4 linked regions of the Caenorhabditis elegans genome follow. The protein of the gene in region 1 purifies or fractionates together with the protein of each later gene. This does not show direct contact. Each region holds a gene or a part of one and is shown on either strand. Other genes may lie near its edges.

The links.
Region 2: the proteins of cex-1 (region 1) and zmp-4 fractionate together in Caenorhabditis elegans (co-fractionation; one large-scale study listed by BioGRID). This does not show direct contact.
Region 3: the proteins of cex-1 (region 1) and dao-3 fractionate together in Caenorhabditis elegans (co-fractionation; one large-scale study listed by BioGRID). This does not show direct contact.
Region 4: the proteins of cex-1 (region 1) and C51E3.9 fractionate together in Caenorhabditis elegans (co-fractionation; one large-scale study listed by BioGRID). This does not show direct contact.

The regions. Positions count from the first base shown.
Region 1 is NC_003280.10:5,446,061-5,449,189, forward strand, and holds cex-1 (Calexcitin-1), read left to right. Parts: upstream 1-1,620; 5' UTR 1,621-1,622; coding exon 1,623-1,737; intron 1,738-1,780; coding exon 1,781-1,833; intron 1,834-1,886; coding exon 1,887-2,207; intron 2,208-2,254; coding exon 2,255-2,380; 3' UTR 2,381-2,574; downstream 2,575-3,129. Other genes in the region: nmr-1 (LITAF domain-containing protein), read right to left, coding at 1-140, 200-282, 413-544.
Region 2 is NC_003283.11:14,917,180-14,923,605, reverse strand, and holds zmp-4 (Peptidase metallopeptidase domain-containing protein), read left to right. Parts: upstream 1-1,996; 5' UTR 1,997-2,004; coding exon 2,005-2,118; intron 2,119-2,478; coding exon 2,479-2,576; intron 2,577-2,621; coding exon 2,622-2,740; intron 2,741-2,937; coding exon 2,938-3,025; intron 3,026-3,068; coding exon 3,069-3,193; intron 3,194-3,240; coding exon 3,241-3,400; intron 3,401-3,772; coding exon 3,773-3,870; intron 3,871-4,103; exon of another isoform or gene 4,104-4,187; coding exon of another isoform or gene 4,188-4,308; intron 4,309-4,685; coding exon 4,686-4,769; intron 4,770-4,843; coding exon 4,844-5,048; intron 5,049-5,295; coding exon 5,296-5,392; intron 5,393-5,525; coding exon 5,526-5,681; intron 5,682-5,724; coding exon 5,725-5,799; 3' UTR 5,800-5,871; downstream 5,872-6,426. Other genes in the region: srg-54 (Serpentine receptor class gamma), read left to right, coding at 389-519, 570-651, 718-858, 908-1,114, 1,161-1,250, 1,499-1,618; H12D21.11 (uncharacterized protein), read right to left, coding at 5,924-6,273, 6,400-6,426.
Region 3 is NC_003284.9:8,083,696-8,088,371, reverse strand, and holds dao-3 (C-1-tetrahydrofolate synthase, cytoplasmic), read left to right. Parts: upstream 1-1,821; 5' UTR 1,822-1,822; coding exon 1,823-1,945; intron 1,946-2,234; coding exon 2,235-2,408; intron 2,409-2,530; coding exon 2,531-2,909; intron 2,910-3,374; coding exon 3,375-3,592; intron 3,593-3,941; coding exon 3,942-3,959; 3' UTR 3,960-4,162; downstream 4,163-4,676. Other genes in the region: Protein vem-1, read left to right, coding at 1-244, 461-637; K07E3.4 (formate--tetrahydrofolate ligase), read left to right, coding at 4,469-4,471.
Region 4 is NC_003283.11:10,144,248-10,149,487, reverse strand, and holds C51E3.9 (Methyltransf_11 domain-containing protein), read right to left. Parts: upstream 3,536-5,240; 5' UTR 3,471-3,535; coding exon 3,465-3,470; intron 3,356-3,464; coding exon 3,266-3,355; intron 2,901-3,265; coding exon 2,809-2,900; intron 2,759-2,808; coding exon 2,656-2,758; intron 1,543-2,655; coding exon 1,449-1,542; intron 1,400-1,448; coding exon 1,275-1,399; intron 837-1,274; exon of another isoform or gene 811-836; coding exon 604-810; 3' UTR 511-603; downstream 1-510. Other genes in the region: srsx-26 (G-protein coupled receptors family 1 profile domain-containing protein), read right to left, coding at 1-66, 111-214, 283-395.

The sequences.
Region 1 (3,129 bases):
GTGTATATGCTGATGATGTAACCAAATCAATAAATCTTGAAGATGATGTCAGTAATGGAGAAAATATAACAGAAGCCAATGAGTGATTGAGCATCTGGCTGCACACAATATCCTGAGTCAATTCCAGACGATTATCTCCACTGAATATAAGAAATGTCTTTCTCGGGGGAAAAGCTCAACAAATAATAATTTCGAAAACCTTTTTGCATCTACAAAAGCTGCGGAAATAGTGTCATTCCCCAAGTGATATGATGTGCTTCCAAAAACTTCCACGAATGCCGCCTGAAAGAAATTAAGAAGAAAAGTTGAAAATATGATATTTTGTGAATATGAATATGCTAATTTAAAAGTTTGGAGCTTCTTCTATAATGCCGAGTTTGTAAGTTTTTAAAGTAAAAATTTCAAAACTTACCGTAACGGAAACTTTCAATTCTTTGAAAGTTTCTTGATTCGGCTCAGAAACAATTAAAACTGATACTTTATAGTCTATTGTGTATCCCAATTGTAAAAATATCCAAATAAATATAACTGATATTCGGAACATATCTGTAACAAAACTAAAGTTTGTCGTGTTCCAAACAGAAGCAAGATAATTGAAATTTTGGAACTTTAAACGGGTTTTTAAATGGAAAGTAAAACGAGGTAGTAGAAGGATGGAAATAAGAGAAAAGTGGCAGTGCTCTTCTCTTTTCAACAAAAAAACGTATTCTACTTTCACCTCTTCTCCTTCCGAATAAGAGAAAAGAAGACGAAGAAAGATGATTTGGTGGGCACATTTGAGCAAAAGGAAAACGGGCGAAATTGAGTAAAGGAAATGGGTTGAAAAATGGGTGGAGCAGTGAGAAAGAGCACTGGATACTAGTTGATTAAATTATTTCAAAATTCAAATTGTTCTTGAACGGTTATCAGCGGATATTACAAAATCCGTTCCAAAAAATTTTTAGAACTCTATCGAAGAAATTGAAATTTTAAACGTTTTTTTGGAAATTCTGAAAATATGTCAACTTTTTGTTGCTTCTGTAATAAAAAATTACCACTAAGACCTTCAAACCAAACTGTGTCACGAATATTTAGATCTTTCTACTTTCAGATCACGACGTTTGAACGATATGCTCAAAATACAAAACATTAAAATTCAAGTTTTGGGCATTTTTCTTTTTCAAACTTTTTCAAAAGATAAATTATTTTATTAGTTCAGAAGGGTATATACGAGAAGTATACCACTTGATTTTTTATTTCAAAAGCGACACTGGAGCTCCTACCCCGTTCTGACATATGTCTATTCAGAATTTCTTGGGTTCATCATAACATCATAAGCATTCATCTAAAAATACCTCCTCAAAATCCTATTATTTTTTCGATTTCCTTGTTTCCTATGAATCACATAAGTATTCCGTGTAATATCTCGTGCTGTGTGCGGGCGTCGCCGCAAGGAGGAGCTATGATCATCACAAAAGAGCACTTCAATTCGTACACAGAGGGGCGGAGTCAGACATTCTAAAGTGAGATAAAAGCATCTTCACAACCCATGGAATGTTCATTTCTAGATATTTTTTCTTGATTTCTAGACTTTCTCAAGTTCATAATTTTATAATTTTCAGTCAAATCTTATACTTTCAGAAATGGTTGTTGCAAAGCCTACAGCAGCAGTTTCCATTGAAGATCTTATCAAGAAACATTCCGATGTTGATCCGTTCCTTGTCAAGAAGTGGGAACGCATTTTCTCACTATTTTTTGGTTAGTTTTCCCACTCTTTTTTACTTTCAATTATATGTTTCAGATAGAAATGCTTCTCATCAAGTCGATTGGGGAGATTTTTACTTGGTTGTCAAGGTGAGAATTATTTTTAGAATTCTAAATTCTATTATTTTCTTTTAACCTTCCAGAAAGTCCGTGACATTTACGGAGCTGAATCAGTTCAAACTGGCTTTGCCAAGAAATCTCTTGCTGCTCTCTGGGAAGGACTGTGCTCCATTGCTGATGCTGATAAGGATCAATTGATCTCGATTGATGAATGGATCGGACTTTTGAAGAAGACCGATGCGAAGACTGAACCAAAATGGTTCAAGGACTATCAGAACTTTATGTTCAAACTTTTTGATGTTTCCTGTGATGGAGTCATGGATCTTGCCGAGTATACCGATGGAATGAGTACATATGGATTTGATCAATCCGAGTGTGATGCAGCTTTCCATAAGTTTTCAGTGGTGGGATTTAAATATTTTTTTGATTAATTTAAAAGGAATTATTTCAGGACAAGAAAGGTCAATACGTTCCACAAATGAAGCCAGAGACCTGGAACACATACTTCCATCAGTTGTTCTACTCAACAAATAAATCTGACGTTGGAAATCATCTCTTCGGAATTATTGACTTTTAAATTTTCCTTGCTCTATACCATGTACATTGTTCATCCCCCACACCCTTAAAATATTCTGAAAACCCTTCACTTTCCACTACTTTTCTAATGCTTTACAACATATAGTATTATTTTTGAACATACAACCTTTAATTTGTCTCTGACACCAGATGTGCTTGAGCATAAAAATTCAGATAAAATCATGACAAACAAGTAATTTTGATGAATGATCCTCCAGATGTTTGGGTAAAATAAAAAGTTTCCGAGAAACTTTAAATTTTTATAGTGGCTCGGGAAAACTCGGGATTGTTTGTTGGTTGGATTGTTAGAAGGGAAAGAGCATAACATACAATGGTTTAATTCTTTTTGCTGACTTTTCAGTAAAGACTTGGCAGTAAAAACTGGAAGCTTACGAAAAGCCGCTGAATGAAGCCATTGTATTTTGCTCTTAGAAGCAGTAACTATATTTTTGCGGTTTCAAAACATATTTGAGATTCAATAAATTGAGAAATTATAGAGCACAAGTGTCGCAAAAAATAGAGGCGCTCGTCATTTGGCTCCAGTTTCTCGCCCTAGTTTGGCCCAGAAATTATTAACGCGAATCAGAAGTTGGCCAAACTTGGGCAAAAGCTGAACTCTGGGATAACGTGCCAAAAAATATTTTTTGAGCCGCGCCTGAGCAAGAAACCGGAGCCAAATGCCAAGCGAGTCAAGATATCTGTTTAATTCAAAAATAATTTATCGAAAGCCTTACTCGTAATGACTGTAAA
Region 2 (6,426 bases), on another chromosome or scaffold:
GAGAAGATACTGAAAAATGTAGTACATGTTTCCAAACTTACTCTGGTATTGACAAATGAATAACTACACTGAAATTTTTAAAATAAAAATCCCTCGCAAGAAATTGGTAATTTAATTTCAAGTGCCAAATTTGAAAAATTTCGGTTCCTTTCTTTAAAATATTGTTTTGCGTGTTTAAAGCTATACAATTTAAAAAAACAAATATGTATAAAATTCAGGAAAAACACGAAATTTAGGTCGATTAGCAAAATTATTATAGTTTTTTTGGCACTTTTTAATCTATAAATTTAAATAATGCCACTATCAGGTTTCGTTTTTTTGAAAAACTCCAATTTAGGAAATAATGTTTCCAATAGTTTCAGACTTTATTCAAACGATAAACTTCCAGAATATTACATGTTACATCAATAGTTGGTTAGCTATCCGCTTGGAATACTTCGAAATCGGACGAACTTTCCTTATTTTTCTAGAATCTTCTCTTCCAGGATGCCTCACACTGTCAAAGCTTTTTGTTTCATTGTAAGATATATATCATATTTTAAAAAAATATTATTATTATTCATTTTCAGATACTTCCACTTGCAAAATGTTACGGGATTATTTCTAGTTATTTATCGCTTCACATCAGTTTACTCAATAAATTCTGAAAAGGTATGCAGACTGGAAATTCTACTCTAATACTTTATACTCTAATAATATTTTGCGATTAATTTTCAGGTATGGAATCGCTGGTATTTTTTAGTTCCAGTTCTCGGACTGTTATATTCTTTTATTATTATTTCCCCATGGTGGCTTTTTCAAAATTATGTTACTAGAGTTAGAATTATTGATGGGAAACTTATTAAAATAGTTAATCAGGTTTTTTTCAGTGAATAAAATAACATTTCCTAATATCTGGTAATTTCAGAGAGCACTTTTAACTCAAGCATCTATAAATCCATATTTCTCTGCATTTTATTTTCTTTTAATTATATTAATTGGTGTTTGGACTACTGTACTCTTAGAGAACAGATGGAAAAAGAGTCATTCGAGAAGACATAATCACTTTATTAAAAAATTAACACGTGTCATATTTTGTAACAGTTTTTTGATGTCTGGAAATTTATTGCTTTTGGTATTCAACAGATTTCAGGTTTAAAATATTTTTAGTTGGTTTTCAGATTGCCACCAGTGTGATGTACGTTATTTGCCCTTTTCGAACAGTTATTATGAAAATACAAACAATTGCTGTAACATTTACATCGGATATGGTAGGTTATACCAACATCAATTTAATCTGCCCGCAAAGTAAATTCGACCCTCTCCAGCTGATTGGTCGATTCAAGCGGGAAGTTGAATCTGGATATTGTGTGTATTCAGTTGAAGCTTGCTTAGGTTTAAGATTTCAAAAATTTTAAAATATTTTCCACCGCCAGAACAGAAAAACAAGGAGAATGTCAAAGAATAAGTCTTGAACTTTCTTTATTAAGTTCGCTTGTTGGAGTTCTTTTTTTTTCAGGTAACTCTAGCCATGCCGTACATCCTTCTGGCATTTGACTCGAACATGCGAAGAATTCTGAGAATTGAAAAATCAAAAGGTTACGACAGCAGAACAGCATCCAATTATGCAGAAAACTAATATTATTTGTATTAAGTCTCCCATTTTAAAATTTAGTGATCTTCGATCTATATGATTAACAGAAATGATATCACTCACTCAATCATTTTGTCATTTTTCCCCTTCCTTTTTTCTGTTCTAACCCATATCACAATCTTACCAAGTTCGGCGAGATGACCAAGAGAAAAAAGATCGAATCCAATTTTCTTATTTTCTTCATCATTTGATAGTTTTTCCAACTGTTTTTGTTTCGATTACCTCTTCGATTTTTCTATTTACTTTGAATGAAAAGATCAATTTATTTTAAGTTGGAAAAACCTGTTCACATGCGACACTTTTCCGTTGTTTTTACCTATTTTTTCTTCCTTTTGTTTTTTATGATTATTTTTCTAAGTTCAGGTCATTCAATGTGGCCTTTGTTTTTATTGGGTATTATTGGAGTGGTTTCTGCTGGAATTCCAGGCACAAATGGAGATATTCGTCAGCCAAATTTTCAGAAAGAGCTCATGGATGAAGCCAAGGTATGTAGCAGTTTGAGCAGTTTTAAAAGTGAGGAAGTGATTCTGCCTTTCGCTTTTATTTTTTCTCTCATCCTTCGTTCGCCCGGAAAATGCCTCCAAAAGAGAAATAAAATTAAATAGAAAATTAAAAAAAAGGAGAATTCAACTGCAACGAAATACATTGAAATTAAACATTGAAATTGAAATTTTAGAAAAAAGTTTTGAATAAATTATTCAACAGCTACTTTGTCAGTGTGATGTTGAAAATTTTTTGTTTTCATCAGTTTCACAATACATACAAACAGTTTAATTATAGAAACTCTTCTGAAGAAAGTTTCTTAAAAAATGACTGAATGAAGTTTGTAACTGAGAGATTTTCAGGTATATCTCTTCAAATTCGGTTACATGATTCCTGAACCACACCAAAATGTAAAAACAATTCAAGAGCCAAGTGAAAAACAGACAAAAGATGCTCTTATGTAAGTACTAATTGTAAATGTAACTTTTTTGAAAAAGTTGTTTAGTCGCTTCCAATCTGCATTCCTCTATTATTCATCAGGAGATGTTGATGTTCCAACTCAAGCAAAAATGAACGAATGGAGATGTGCTAATAATGATATGGATAAGGGACAACCAATTCCACGTGAGAATAACAGATTTAAAATATTTTAGTAGGTAAATTCAATGAAGCGCGAGACGCCTCGATGGTTCCGCATTTCTTATAGTGTCAAAATCTGATGGAGGTAGCACCTAGAAGGTGTCGGCTACAAAACATTTTATTTGAATTCTATACTCTACGAGGGCTCCTCTAGTTCTTTTTAATTCACAGCTTAATTTCAGCAGCTTCGAAAAAAGAGTTATGGACGAAGAAATCACTGACCTACAAAGTGGTAAACACTCCAAATACTCTTTCTCAAGCACAAATAAGGTTAGCTAAAAATTTGAAAAAACAAATCCTAAAAATATTTCAGATCTGCCGCCCATGAAGCATTTGAACAATGGACCAGAGCCAGTGGTTTCAAATTTGTGGAAACAACTGGAGCAACCCCAGATATAACAATCACCTTCTACGATGTCCCACAAAGCAATTTGAGAAGTAGATTTTCCTTATATAATTCTATATATTTTATACTGTAATTTCAGTTGCTGGAAGTGCATCAAAACCAGTGAACAGTCATATCATTCTTGATAAAAATCAGGAATGGGCATACAAGTCACAAGCCCCAATGGGAATCTCTCTTTATCATACGCTTCTTCACGAAATTGGACACATTTTGGGTTTGCCACACACTTTTTATAGAGGGTAAGTGGTTATAATGACAGACATTTAAATTTTTGTAGCAAATCTGATATGATTTTTGTTGCATAGAAATTTTCAAAATAAGCCCAAATGTTTACCTACTCCCAAATACCCTAAAAATATACAAACTCTACAAAGAAATTCTACAAGCTTCGTAAATTGTGAAAAAAAAGCACCTAAACAATTTATAACTTAACAACATCTTGAATTTAATTTTAGAAATTCAATGCGAAGCTTAGTTTAGTTTAATATAAACAATATAAAAGTTTAATATAAAAAAGTTTAATATAAATAGTTTAATATAAAATAAAAAAGTTTAGTTTAATAATAATTTAGTAAAATAAAGTTTAGTTTACAAAAAGAAAAATTTTTCAGATCTATCATGCACCCAATTTTCAAGCCAGTCCTCCTCCCCCACGGTACAGTTGACACAGTTCCAAATGTTGATCGTCTAGCGATTCGAAAGATTTATGGTGAGTCATCATATCATCTGGTTATTGAGTCACAATATATTATATCCGACAAGATCTACTAAAAAGTGTAATGGGTTCTAGTGACCAACTTTTTGTAAAATATAGATTCAAATCCTTATTGCCTAGTTCTTTGAAAAATTTTTAAAATAAAGTGTTTTGTCCAATCTTTCCTACGTCAACCGCCGCCGAAATTTTGCGGTTTTTTGTGACCATCTTGTGAAGAACAGCTGCACATCTCAACTCTTCCCTTTATTCCTTCTCTTTTCACTTTCATTTCAATTTGCCAAGACTTTTGCTCTCAGTCTTAGGAGCTTGAAATGAACTTCAATTTATCTTCTGTTCTTCTTATTTTTTCATATGTTCTCTGTGCTATAGCCGGTCCACCGGGTATTGAGGTTGATACGGATACTGCTGAAGATAATTCAGTTGGAAATGAAGGTTTGTTGATAGGGTTCAAGATTTTTAAATTCAAACTTCTGAAGTAATAAACAATAAAACTAAAAAAATGACTTCCAAAATTTTTAAAGTAACCACGTGGTAATTCAAATATTGCCCAGCTATTTCTAGTTTTCGGGGATTAAGGTGCTTAAGGCGCTTTAAAAATCTCTAAACATCTGTGCTCCACATGTGCTCCTGCTGCGAATAATTTTTTTTAAAATCACATATTGAAAAATTACAACATAATACATTTTTTTAAATGAAAATACACTGAATTTTGAATACTTTGTAAAATATTTCAAATATCTTTGACCGGAAGCATGTGATGTGCACCCAGATGTACCCTGAGAAATCAACAATCTTTTCTCATATTTCAGGACTTTCATCCGTCGATCATTCAACTCCGTCGTCAGATGTTGATCGTTCAAAATGCCCAAAGCATCTTGACTCTGTTGTTGCTAGTGTGTTTTATTTTTTTATTTGTTTTCGAGTGAATATTGAAATGAAATTCTGTGAAACAGTGTGAATGTTTCAGTAAACGACCAAGAATGGCTCTTCTTCCGTTCCAACAAAGTGTACAAACTCAACAATCGAAAGTTCGTTGACTCGGGTCGCCCAATTCAACAAGTGTTCCCACGTGGCCCACAATTTGTCAACGCCACTGTGTCATCTGGACCATTGACTCTTTTGTTCGTGGAACGAACTATTTATGGATATGAATACGATGGAGTGCAGTTTACGTAAGTACACTTTTTATTGTCAATTTATTCATGAAAAACCTGTGCATTTTAAAAGGAAACATATTTAATTTGAAAAATGACCTTTTAAATAGGTTTCTACGTGAAATTAAGAGGTACCGGAGCATTCTGATATGTAAAAAAAAGTCGATCTAAAATTAAAAAGGATACGGTTTGTATACATATCTCACTATTTTCGCGGCTCTTAATATACAAAACTTTTTTTTCTAAACTTGTGAAGTATTTTCAGGGAAGCTCCAAATTATCCAAAAGAACTTCACGATCGTGTTCTCTTCTACCCACAGGGAGCATTCCCACTGAATAATGGGAGTGTCATTCTTTTGTCGGTATGTTTTTTTATTTCGTTTTAGTTTTCAGGTTATACAACCACAAAAAAAAGTATTTTTTCTTTAAGATTGTAATAATTATTGCTCATTGAGGCTACTTATCAAAAACTCAATAACATCCGTCTACTTACAGGGTAACGTGTTTGCTACCTACAATGTGCAACAGAATGCTCCATCATTCTTGAACGACAAAAATCGATATTTCCCAAATTTGCCAGAAGATATCAAAAGTGGAATTGAAAAGACTCAAGGGTTCACTGATGCATATTATATGTTTGATGAGGCTACGGTAACCGTTTTAAACTTTAAATTTAGACAATGGAGAAATTTAGGTCTCCGACTACGATATGAACTCAAAGCAGGTTCTCCAGTTGCAAAACATTCCAGACTTTTTGAAATGTACTTAATGATAATTTCCATGTATAAATTGAATATGTTGTCCCATGTACTACTAATAAATGAAAAATGTTTTTATTTACATTGAATGTTAAATGCTATGCTTCGCAATTATTCGAAAAACATTGAAATTAACTACCTATTTCCGGAAGAATGCCCGTCAGCGGAAGATACCTTATTCAGTGTTCTTCTCAAAATCTGAAATCGATGTTCATGCCTTCGAGGTAACCCAGATTCAGCAGTGGCGAATATGGTAGGATCTGGACTTGAAACAACTTGAGAAATAGATGCAACTTCTAGTCCTGGGTGCTCTTCCGGTACATTAGGTAAATCATCATCAATGTCCAGGTCACATTCCGAACCAACATCACTAATTGTGTTCAGCTCGTTTTCAGAGGGAAACATGAGTTCTTCGGCGATATTTTCAAATACAAATTCGAATTTCGTAGATTTGACACCATCACTTTTGGTCTTCTTTGCCGCCACTGAAATTGGAACATTGAAAATAAAGTGAAATTTCCGGGAAAGAGACTTGTTGTTTTGAACCGATTTTTTGTACTATATATTATTGATATTTTTGATCAACATAAATTCAAAAATCTACAACTCACTGAAAACGGGACCAATGTTTTCCGAAT
Region 3 (4,676 bases), on another chromosome or scaffold:
ATTGCCAATGTCCGATATGACAGTTGAAGAGCTGCGCAAGTACGATGGTGTCAAAAATGAGCACATTCTGTTTGGACTCAACGGAACTATCTATGACGTGACTCGCGGAAAAGGATTTTACGGACCAGGAAAAGCCTACGGTACACTTGCCGGGCATGACGCTACCCGCGCGCTTGGAACCATGGACCAGAATGCTGTTTCTAGCGAGTGGGATGATCATACTGGAATCTCTGCTGACGAGCAGGTAGGCTATGCAGTTTTCTCATGAGTAAGAACGTGAAAGTTCGTTATAAACATTTAATCCTTAAAGTCATTGTTTTATGATTTGTGGTATTTATTCATAACTCAGGCATAAACCATAACTTTTTTGTGTCATCAATATGACATCGAAGCTAATTCAAATGTATATTGCCTCGGTCAGATTGATTGTGAACAAAAAAACCTAAATTGATTTTTACAGGAAACCGCCAACGAATGGGAGACACAGTTCAAATTCAAGTACTTGACTGTTGGACGTCTGGTAAAGAATAGCTCGGAAAAAGCAGATTATGGAAATAGAAAATCGTTTGTTCGTGGAGCCGAGTCTTTGGATTCGATTATCAATGGTGGCGACGAGGGCACAAAAAAGGATAACTAATTGTATTCAAATCCATAATTGTTGCACATTCCAAAACGGTTACATCTTATTTTATGTTCTTTGTATGATATGAAATCCCATTGTCCATCCCTTCTCACCATCTCTCGCAAATTTTATATAAATACTGTGATTTAGTTGTTTTTCAAATCGAAGAATGATTTTGAATAAATGATTTTTGTGTACGCCTTTGAAAAATGTTAATATTTAATATTTACTTCATTATTTTCACTGTTCAATTGCTCCGATAATTTGGATTGTGCAGGTTTTAGGACATTATTGATAAGACTTGTTTTCTTCATTTTAAATCATTTGAAAAAAACATTTGAGAATAACATGTTTTGATTTCTGGTTAATAGAAATAGACACTTTTTAAAAATCAACGTTTCCCAGTTTATAAGAAAAATAATGAGTTTCACATTCAAATTTGCAAGGTAAGAAGTTTTCATGATAAGATCCCAGTCCCATTGTAGTCAAAATGTTGATATGATTATTGTTTTTATCTCGGCAAATTGCTGGGTAAAAAGAGATTTTGCGTCGTATGGATGCCGATAAGATTTCTGTGTTATGCGCGCGCATTGCATGCAAGGCCAGCCGCCGACTGTTATCGATTTTCATGGTCCGCCGCCACGCGTTCGTATTGGACATTTCTGCACTGTGTCCATTATTTTGATATATTGTTAACATATAAGGCAGCAAAAACTTTCAAAAGTATTATTTTCATGTGACAAAAATTGAATTTTGTTCCTTGATACACTGTTTTCATTTTCAAGCAAACATGTTTAATGCGGAAGCTTTGACATCGAAACTGTCGGTGGAACATGTATTTTCCATGAGAATGTCGCTGACAAGCAACTCTAGTCACTCGACACATAAAATCATAGCGATCTTCAGCATAAGATAACAAGGCCAGGCCGTTTTAAAACTCTTCTCATCACTCCCCCACAAACAACAGACCGCTATGCATATTCAACTTTTTCGACGCTTTATTTTTTCACTCTGTCCCCCACCATCGAAATGTGAATATGTGCTAAGTTTCCAATCAGCTTGTCCTCTGACTTCTGCACTAGTCTCTTCCCATGAATAGCCAAGTACAAGAGGAGTTTCGTACTCTTTTCCTTTACTCTTCCCCTTCTTGTTTTCTTGACGTATTTTTCAACTTGATTATTACTTTGTTTATTTTTTAGAATGGTCGCGGAGATCGTCAGTGGACTCGAGTACTCAAAAAAGGTTCTTCACGATGTCGGACAGAAAATCGCAAAAACCCGTGAGCACCACCCAAATTTTCATGCAGTATTGGCAATTGTTCAGGTATGAAAGCTTACCACTGATAATAATTTTATTTCAAGCATTGCTATTAACTTAATAATATTTCTAAATTGAATATATGAAAATGAAAATCTCTGTCCAATCTGTGTTTTGAGTTCATGACGTACATAAGTGCATTGCATACTTACAAAACAGATTTTGAAAGTTTTGCAGAGCGTAATTTGTAGTTGTGGTGTACTTTTGAGATACCGGCTTTTATTTCGTAACAAGACAAATAATATCCGAGGGGATATCTGTTATACTGAATAACTCAAAGTCTCAAAATTTGCAGGTTGGAAATCGTTCAGACTCCAATGTGTACATTAATTCCAAACTGAAAAAAGCAAAGGAAATCGGAGCAGATGGAAAACTCATTAAGTTGCCAGACACCATCACTCAAGGAGATTTGAAGCGAGAGATTATGGCTCTTAATCATGACAACGAGATTGACGGAATTATCATTCAGGTTAATATAACGGATTAAGTTGTAATATTGAAATGTTAACTTATAACGGAAAAAAAACACATCTCAGTTAATTAAAAAAAAACATCGGAAGCTAAACAATAATAGCAAGTTATTAATTTCAGCTTCCACTGGACTGCAAGCACGAAATCGACGCAGACTCTGTTATCGACTTGATTGACCCATTGAAAGATGTCGATGGACTGACTCGTATCAATGCTGGACGTTTGGCTCGTGGAGAACTCCAGCGTACGATCTTTCCTTGCACTCCGTTTGGATGCTTGTACTTGGTTCAACAGGCAACTGGTGATGCCAACTTTGTGTCTGGAAAGGAGGTGGTTGTTTTGGGACGCTCGAAAATTGTCGGATCTCCAGCCGCTGCGCTTTTCTTGTGGCATCATGGAACTGTGACAATCTGCCACTCAAAAACTCCAAATCTCAAGGAGAAATGCCTGAGAGCAGATATTTTGATTGTGGCAATTGGGAGAAAACATTTCGTCAAAGGTAGATTATCAATAAACCTAAATTTGAGATAGTGCACAGTACTGGCCATACAGATATCAAAAGATTGATTTCAACTTCAGCAAACGTGGTTATTCCGAGCTGAGATCTGACTATAGTAAAATAGTGAAAGTTTTTATATCCTGATTTTTTGGAATTCATCATTGAACAAATTTCGCGTTGCTTTTTTCATAATTACGCCCAAATCCATTTAAAAGAAGAATCTTGGCAAAAGTTATTACGAGTAGACCTTTATATGAGCAGCACGGTATTTACTTGCTAACCTAAAAGTTTGTAAGTCATTAAATTATGCAAAATATCTATAATAGAAACCCCAATTTAAGAACTATCAATGTTTAGTATGCACCTGACTGTTTGCAACTTCTGAATTGTTTTGCATCAAATAGAAACAGACTCTCTGTTCTGATAAGTGTCAGCGTTTTTTACAAATAAAAGCATATATTTCAGCTGATTGGATCAAGCCTGGCGCATTCGTCATCGACTGTGGAATCAACGTTGGTGACGACCCAAACTCACGCAAAATTTACGGAGATGTTGACACAGAAGCCGCAAAGGAAGTCGCCGGATTCCTCACACCTGTCCCCGGAGGCGTTGGACCAATGACTGTTGCCATGCTCATCCGTAACACATTTGAGCAGGCTAAGAGACGACGTCTTGGACAAAAGGTAAAATAGCTTTCCTTTTGCGACACTAAGTTTGTGCAGGTTTTTTGATGTTCTGGCCTAAGCGTGGATAGTGCCAAACAGTTTGTTTTGCGTGTGGGGTTGATACTGATGCACCAGAGTTTATTTCAAAAATTACAAAAGACACCGATAGCACGTTATCGACTCAAAGAACTTCAAAAATTCATTGAGCGATAAACTCTACGAAACAAGCAAATTTCATGGACATTGTCTTCATTATTTACACCGAATGTAAAGTTGTTCTGCAACTATAGTGTGCCTCACACAAAATCGATTGAAAATATGTTAAAAATATTTGTAAGTGTTGTATTTCACAGAACCTACTTTTCAGGATGACGATGATGAGTGAACTTCAAGCACCCACTTCCACCACATCATTTGCGAATGAACTATTTATAATGTGCTTTTTGGTTTGACTTTTTACTCTTTAAAATTTGTTGTGACGTTCTGGAACTTGAAGTCCTCTTCATACCTTTTTTTAATCTAATCTTTTCAATTTGTATTTTCTTTTTATTGTCACTTTCCACCGAAATAAACAATGACCAAGGACACAATTAGCCCTGATTTGTAAAAAGACCATGGTCTCGCGATAAATGCACGTGGTTAGTTTAGATGTTTAGATGCACGAGAGCGACGCAACATCGAACAAATCAGAGGACGCGATCAATAAGGCAGACCCGGCAAATGCCCCCCGTGCATGTTTTCTGTGCGTCTCCTAATATCTGATACTGACTCGATTACTTGTTCTGCCCACTGCCTTATCAAGGTGTTTGTATTTAGTGGCCATCGCTCTGCAGTTGTTTGAATCACTCGCTTTTTATTTTCGTTGATTCATTGGTTTCTCTTGAATTGTGAAACATGGTAAGTAACACTAACGTTTTGGGATTTGATTTTTAAACGGAAAATGCAATTTTGAAAACTCCAAAAATAACAAAAATAATTTGTTCATGTTTTGAGCGTGAGCAAAAAAAACAGAACTTGTGTATAATAACTCCACACTGTAAAAATACATTTTCAAAAAAAAAAAGAGTCTGAAGATAAAAAAAAGAGTATTATCTGTTAAATT
Region 4 (5,240 bases), on another chromosome or scaffold:
CACCTGCACAATATCCAACGATTGGAAGAATCAGAATAAAATAGCATTCTGATTGACTCGATGTGACTGGAAGTTTGAAAAAAAGTTAGAATATATTCAATTCAACCAACTTCCTGTGAAATATTCAATGAGGAATGGAAATTGCCCACTAATATGAAATGCATCAATTAGGCATGTTAGTGATATTAAAAAATAACAAGGAGAATGAAGTCTTCTGAAAATTAAATTATTTTATAGTGCCGGTATTTAATATGCCCAGTAATTATTAAATTCCACACTTACTTTGTAACAGAGCAGCATATTATCATAATTAAATTTCCAATCACTCCAATAGTTGAACAAAAAATAAAGAAGATCGCAAGTGGAAGTAAATTAAGATCCAAATGATCGAACATTTTAATAGAATCAATGAATGAAACAAGGAACAGAATACAGAAATCTGAAAACTTTTCCGTTTTTTCACAGGATTGTGTCGTGCAAAATGCAACTTTTTCTACCAAAAGAGAAGATCAGAGTACGTGAGTTTATTCATAAAATCCAATCATTGGACCAACTAGGGAAAGTGAACCCTGCAGACAAACATTCAATAACAAAATCAAATAATTATTTACGTAACATAACGATCAAAAGTTTCTCCTCGAATTCGAATTTTCCAGACTTTGAAACACAGAAATCACGAATAGTACGTTCATCACATTTTGGGGTGTTCTTGACGGCTGGGAAGCAACCGGAATACAAAATATTCTCCCATTGAACCTTGTCGACAGAAATTGGAACGGCTGCAGAGAAGCATGTAGAATTGAGTTGAGCCTGAAATTGGTTTTTTTTTTTGGAATACTTTCCCAAATTCCTATTAAAAAAAAAGGTTCAACTGGGAATTCATGACAGCTGACTGAGAGTTAATTAACAATTTCTGGCAAAGGTTTATGCTGACTAATATTATTAAATTATTTTTGACTTTTTGATTTTTAATGAAATTTTGGTTACATTCAAGCATATTTAGAAATCATACAATGTTGGTTTATTGATGATTATGATCTGAAATGGACTGGCATAGGTTTTGACGGAAGTGTTTTAAAATCAAATTTCCTCGTAATTCCTGGAATTTTATATTCTTACTGACTAAGTACTCCATCTGTGTTTTAATTGAGATCACGAGATGCTTCAAAAACATTTCGATCATACTCAGTAATCTAGTCTGATGACTGATCTTCCCATGATCCGTGGGAATCCAAGTCTAAGTAGTCAAAAAAGTCAGCTGAATAATCACTTACGGCGTTTGCTGATGCAAGCAATTCCTCTTTAGTAGCTGCAAGTTTTCTCCAAAGCATGAGACATATATCGGGAACTGGCAATGGTGGATTCTTGGGGCGAGAAAAGAGAACTATTTGACCTCCATCTAAAAGTTAATAACAATTTTCTTCAAGTATCGTCCGAATTCGATCAACCTTTAAGAAGAGTTTTCAGCTTTTTGAACAATCCATCAATATCTCCAATATCGTGTGAAATCTCGTTGAAAATAATGAGATCAAAGGGACCACTCTGAAAATAAATTGTATTTTAGGCGGAAGTTTTTATTTTTGAGAAAGATATAAGTAGAACTAGTTCGGCAACAAGTTGTTCGGAGGCGTGAGAAACTCTGTAGCATGAACTCGTGAATAATATTTTTTAATTGTTCAACACTTACAAAATGATCAGACGGATTCGTTGAAAGTAATTTCTAAAATCTACAAAGGGAGAGGAATAATTGTTGACTTTCGAAAATACCAACTTCTTTTTTAATATGTAGAACTCTAACACATCATTGTTTCAATGATTGATTCGTGAATTGTAATAAAAATTAAAGATTAATATAAAAATTAATAAAAAAAACACATGAATTTTTTAAAAAAGAAATTGCTATAATTTTTTTTAAATTTTTCCAAGGATAGGTGGCACAAAATATTTCTTGGATTGACAATACCTTTAGAAATTTATTACTAAACATATGTTGAAATACATAAGTATTTACACAAAACTGTTTTTTTTAATGAACGGTATCTTTAATTGCTGTTATCAATTCATTCACAGTTTTAAACATTCTATCATTTTTGAAAAACATCTAAAACTTTCGATCAATCGTTTTGTAGATAATAGAGTTTTTCAAAAGTTTTTGACAATTGTAAACAATGTTTGTCAACTTTAAGATATATTTTGAAGTAGTGTCAAAAGCCAACGGAGTACGTAATTCAAGTGATTTTTGGTCAAACGTCTCTGTCTCCTTTACCCCGGTATCTTCTAATTTAACGAGTGTTTCATGCGGGCTTTTTTCATCTTCAACTCTAGACCGTGTAATTCAATCCGCCATCTTATTCGTCGCCTCAAAAAACGAAAAGGCTCTGAGTAAACTTCAAAAATCTTCTGATCGAAGGTTCACGACACAATTATCTTGTCACCACGGGTCTTTTTCGCTGTTTTGGCGGCTCCAGAGAAGAAAAAATGAGCATGTGTTGTTACATAACAGATGGCAACTCACACATCTGCACGCACACACTTACACCAATCAACCCAGATCTTTCGATATTCTATCAATTATTTGATAGGTCACATTAACTTGATTTTTATGTGATTGGTTCTTTGAGATTCAATAACTAAAAAGAACGCTTCCGAACACACCTGGGCGATTGAATCGGCATTTCTCAGGATGCTCCCTTTGTGATATTGGACATTGACAGGAAAATCGAAAGTTGGTCTTACACTCGATGTCATAATTGTTAGCCTGAAAACAAACCTATATTCTAATTCCATTCTTTTATTGCCCATGCTTACTTGTTGGTTGGGTGATTTTCAGCCAAAGTCAAAGCAAATAAACAAGCTTCCTCTGAGACGTCCAAGATTGAAAGACCATCGGATTTTCCCATCTGAAAAAGTAGACTTATTTTTGGGTTAAAAATTTACGTGTGTTAGAAATTGCATTTGAACCATTTTATTCGAGAATAAAACTTTGTAAAACTTTTAGTTCTATCTAGGCCCCAAAGCACTAGTGGCTCTAGACGCCAAGGCATCGAAGATCCAATAGAAACCTGTGACTTCTAGCGAAAAATTACTATTTTATGATTACTTCTTTTTGTGAGTATTTCATAAAAGTAACAAAAAATACTATACATAATACCTTTAAAAATCTATTGTATAAAGAAAAAATTAAAGTCTAAAAAAACCGTGACATGGTATGTTTATTTGGATAATACGTTGTAAGATTTAGTATCAAGTTTAAAATCAAACTTACTTTATCCATAATCAACTTCCAGAAATCTCCGTGATGCTGAACTTCAAATTTCTTGATAGCTTCATACTGTTCTTTTCCAAACTTTACTCTCTGTAACAATTGCATATTTTTACAATTACGGAATCAGATTTGTGTAATTCTTGTGTATTCACTATATAAGTTTAGATAAAAGTATTTGAAAATTGAAAAAAAAACTGACCACCATCTTGAAGCGTTGATTGTTGTACACCTGGACAAACGGCGAGAAATATCTTCTTCTCTAGGCTCTGGTGGAAAGAAATGAGGAAACAACACAAGTGGGGGAGTGAAAATGAGGATGAGAAGAAGCGGAAAAGATGGATGAGCAACAAGTGGAGTAGCGCGGCGAAAGAAGTTTGCACACTGTTAAATTTCGATCTGGGAAACGACTTTCTGGTGAACACGTGTAGGTGGTGACAGCGTGTTGTGGGAAATCAATGATCTTGAGATTTATTGGTTAAATATCGGAATTATGAATATCTTGAAAAGTAATTAAAGACATTTAGAATTCAGTAGGAGTTTTAAAAAAATTATTCAAACTTTGAATCAAACAGTTTTTCTTGAATCAGCTGGACAAAATATGGGAAGATTTGTGCCTTCGAGATTTTTTACTCCGAGCTCTCTTTAAACCCCATCAATATGACTTTTTTGTGTATACTGGGAATCCTTTGCAGATCAATCGCTGAAAAAAGTGGTTACATGCGTTTGAAAATTTCAATTTGTCAATCTGAAAAAATGTGTTATTTAATAATTGTTTTCATAATTGCCAAATGTGCTATGTTATAGCGACTATACAAGTTTAAAAATTGATGCATCGTCAATGTGTGTTTTGAATAATAAAATAAATAAAAAGTACTTAAACAAAACTTGAACACATTCAAATGTTGATTGAATATTATGATTATCATCAATTCCGTACTCATAGCTGTTTTTATATCGTGTAAGCTTTTAAAGCAGAAACTTATGCGAATTTCACTTTTATAGACTGTTCTATTGTGTATGCATATCGTTTTCGAAATGGTAGATTGTGTCCAAAAGCGGCAATGGACCTCCGAAATCATGCACTCCGCCAACGGATCCAAATAATCTTCCTGCTTCAAAACTAGAATGCTGGTTCACGAGAGAAATGTTTGAAGACCTGTTCCCATTTGCCAATCTTGGATGGGGTCCTTCGAGTTGCTGGCCATATTCTTACGATGTTTTCAAAATTGCATCCAGATACTTTCCAGAATTTGGAACTTCGATCAATGTCAACAATACTGTATGTAAATATTTTTTCTTCAAAATTCAAGTATTGCCACATTTCGAGATTATTTCATATTTTTGCAGATGTATATACTGCATGAAAATAAGAAACGAGATTTGACGGCTTTCTTTGCCCATGCTATTCAAGAAACTTCAAAATTGATGAATTTCAGACATCAGTCCGATCAAGATGCATCAAACTGTTTCTACCGTGGAGGATTTTATAACTGGTTTGAAAGAGGACCAACAAGTAGCTTTTTGGACCCTAAAACTCCTGGTTATACTCCAGCCGACGGAAACTCATGTGCATCTTCTGGTCTTTATTGTTCTGCTTCTGATCAAATAACTTATTTCTATCCATGCTCAAATTCAACAATTTCAAACACTGTTGCTTCCCATAGAGGATGCTATTTTGGACGCGGAACAATTCAAATTTCGTACAACTACAACTACGGACAATTCCAGGATTCCAGAACATTGAAAAAAAAAACTAATAATTCTTCTGCATTTCACACTTACTTTATTGTCATCATGAGTGTCCGGAAGATCTGAACCTGGTGCTCCAGTCGCGTAGGTACTCATATTCATTTGATCAATATGATCACCACCAGTAGCAGACATTCGACCAGAAGCGTTTTTTAACAAATGTTTTTACAAATTGCTGCAAACTGTAAGGATTGACCTGAAATCTTTGCCAGTGATCACATTCAAA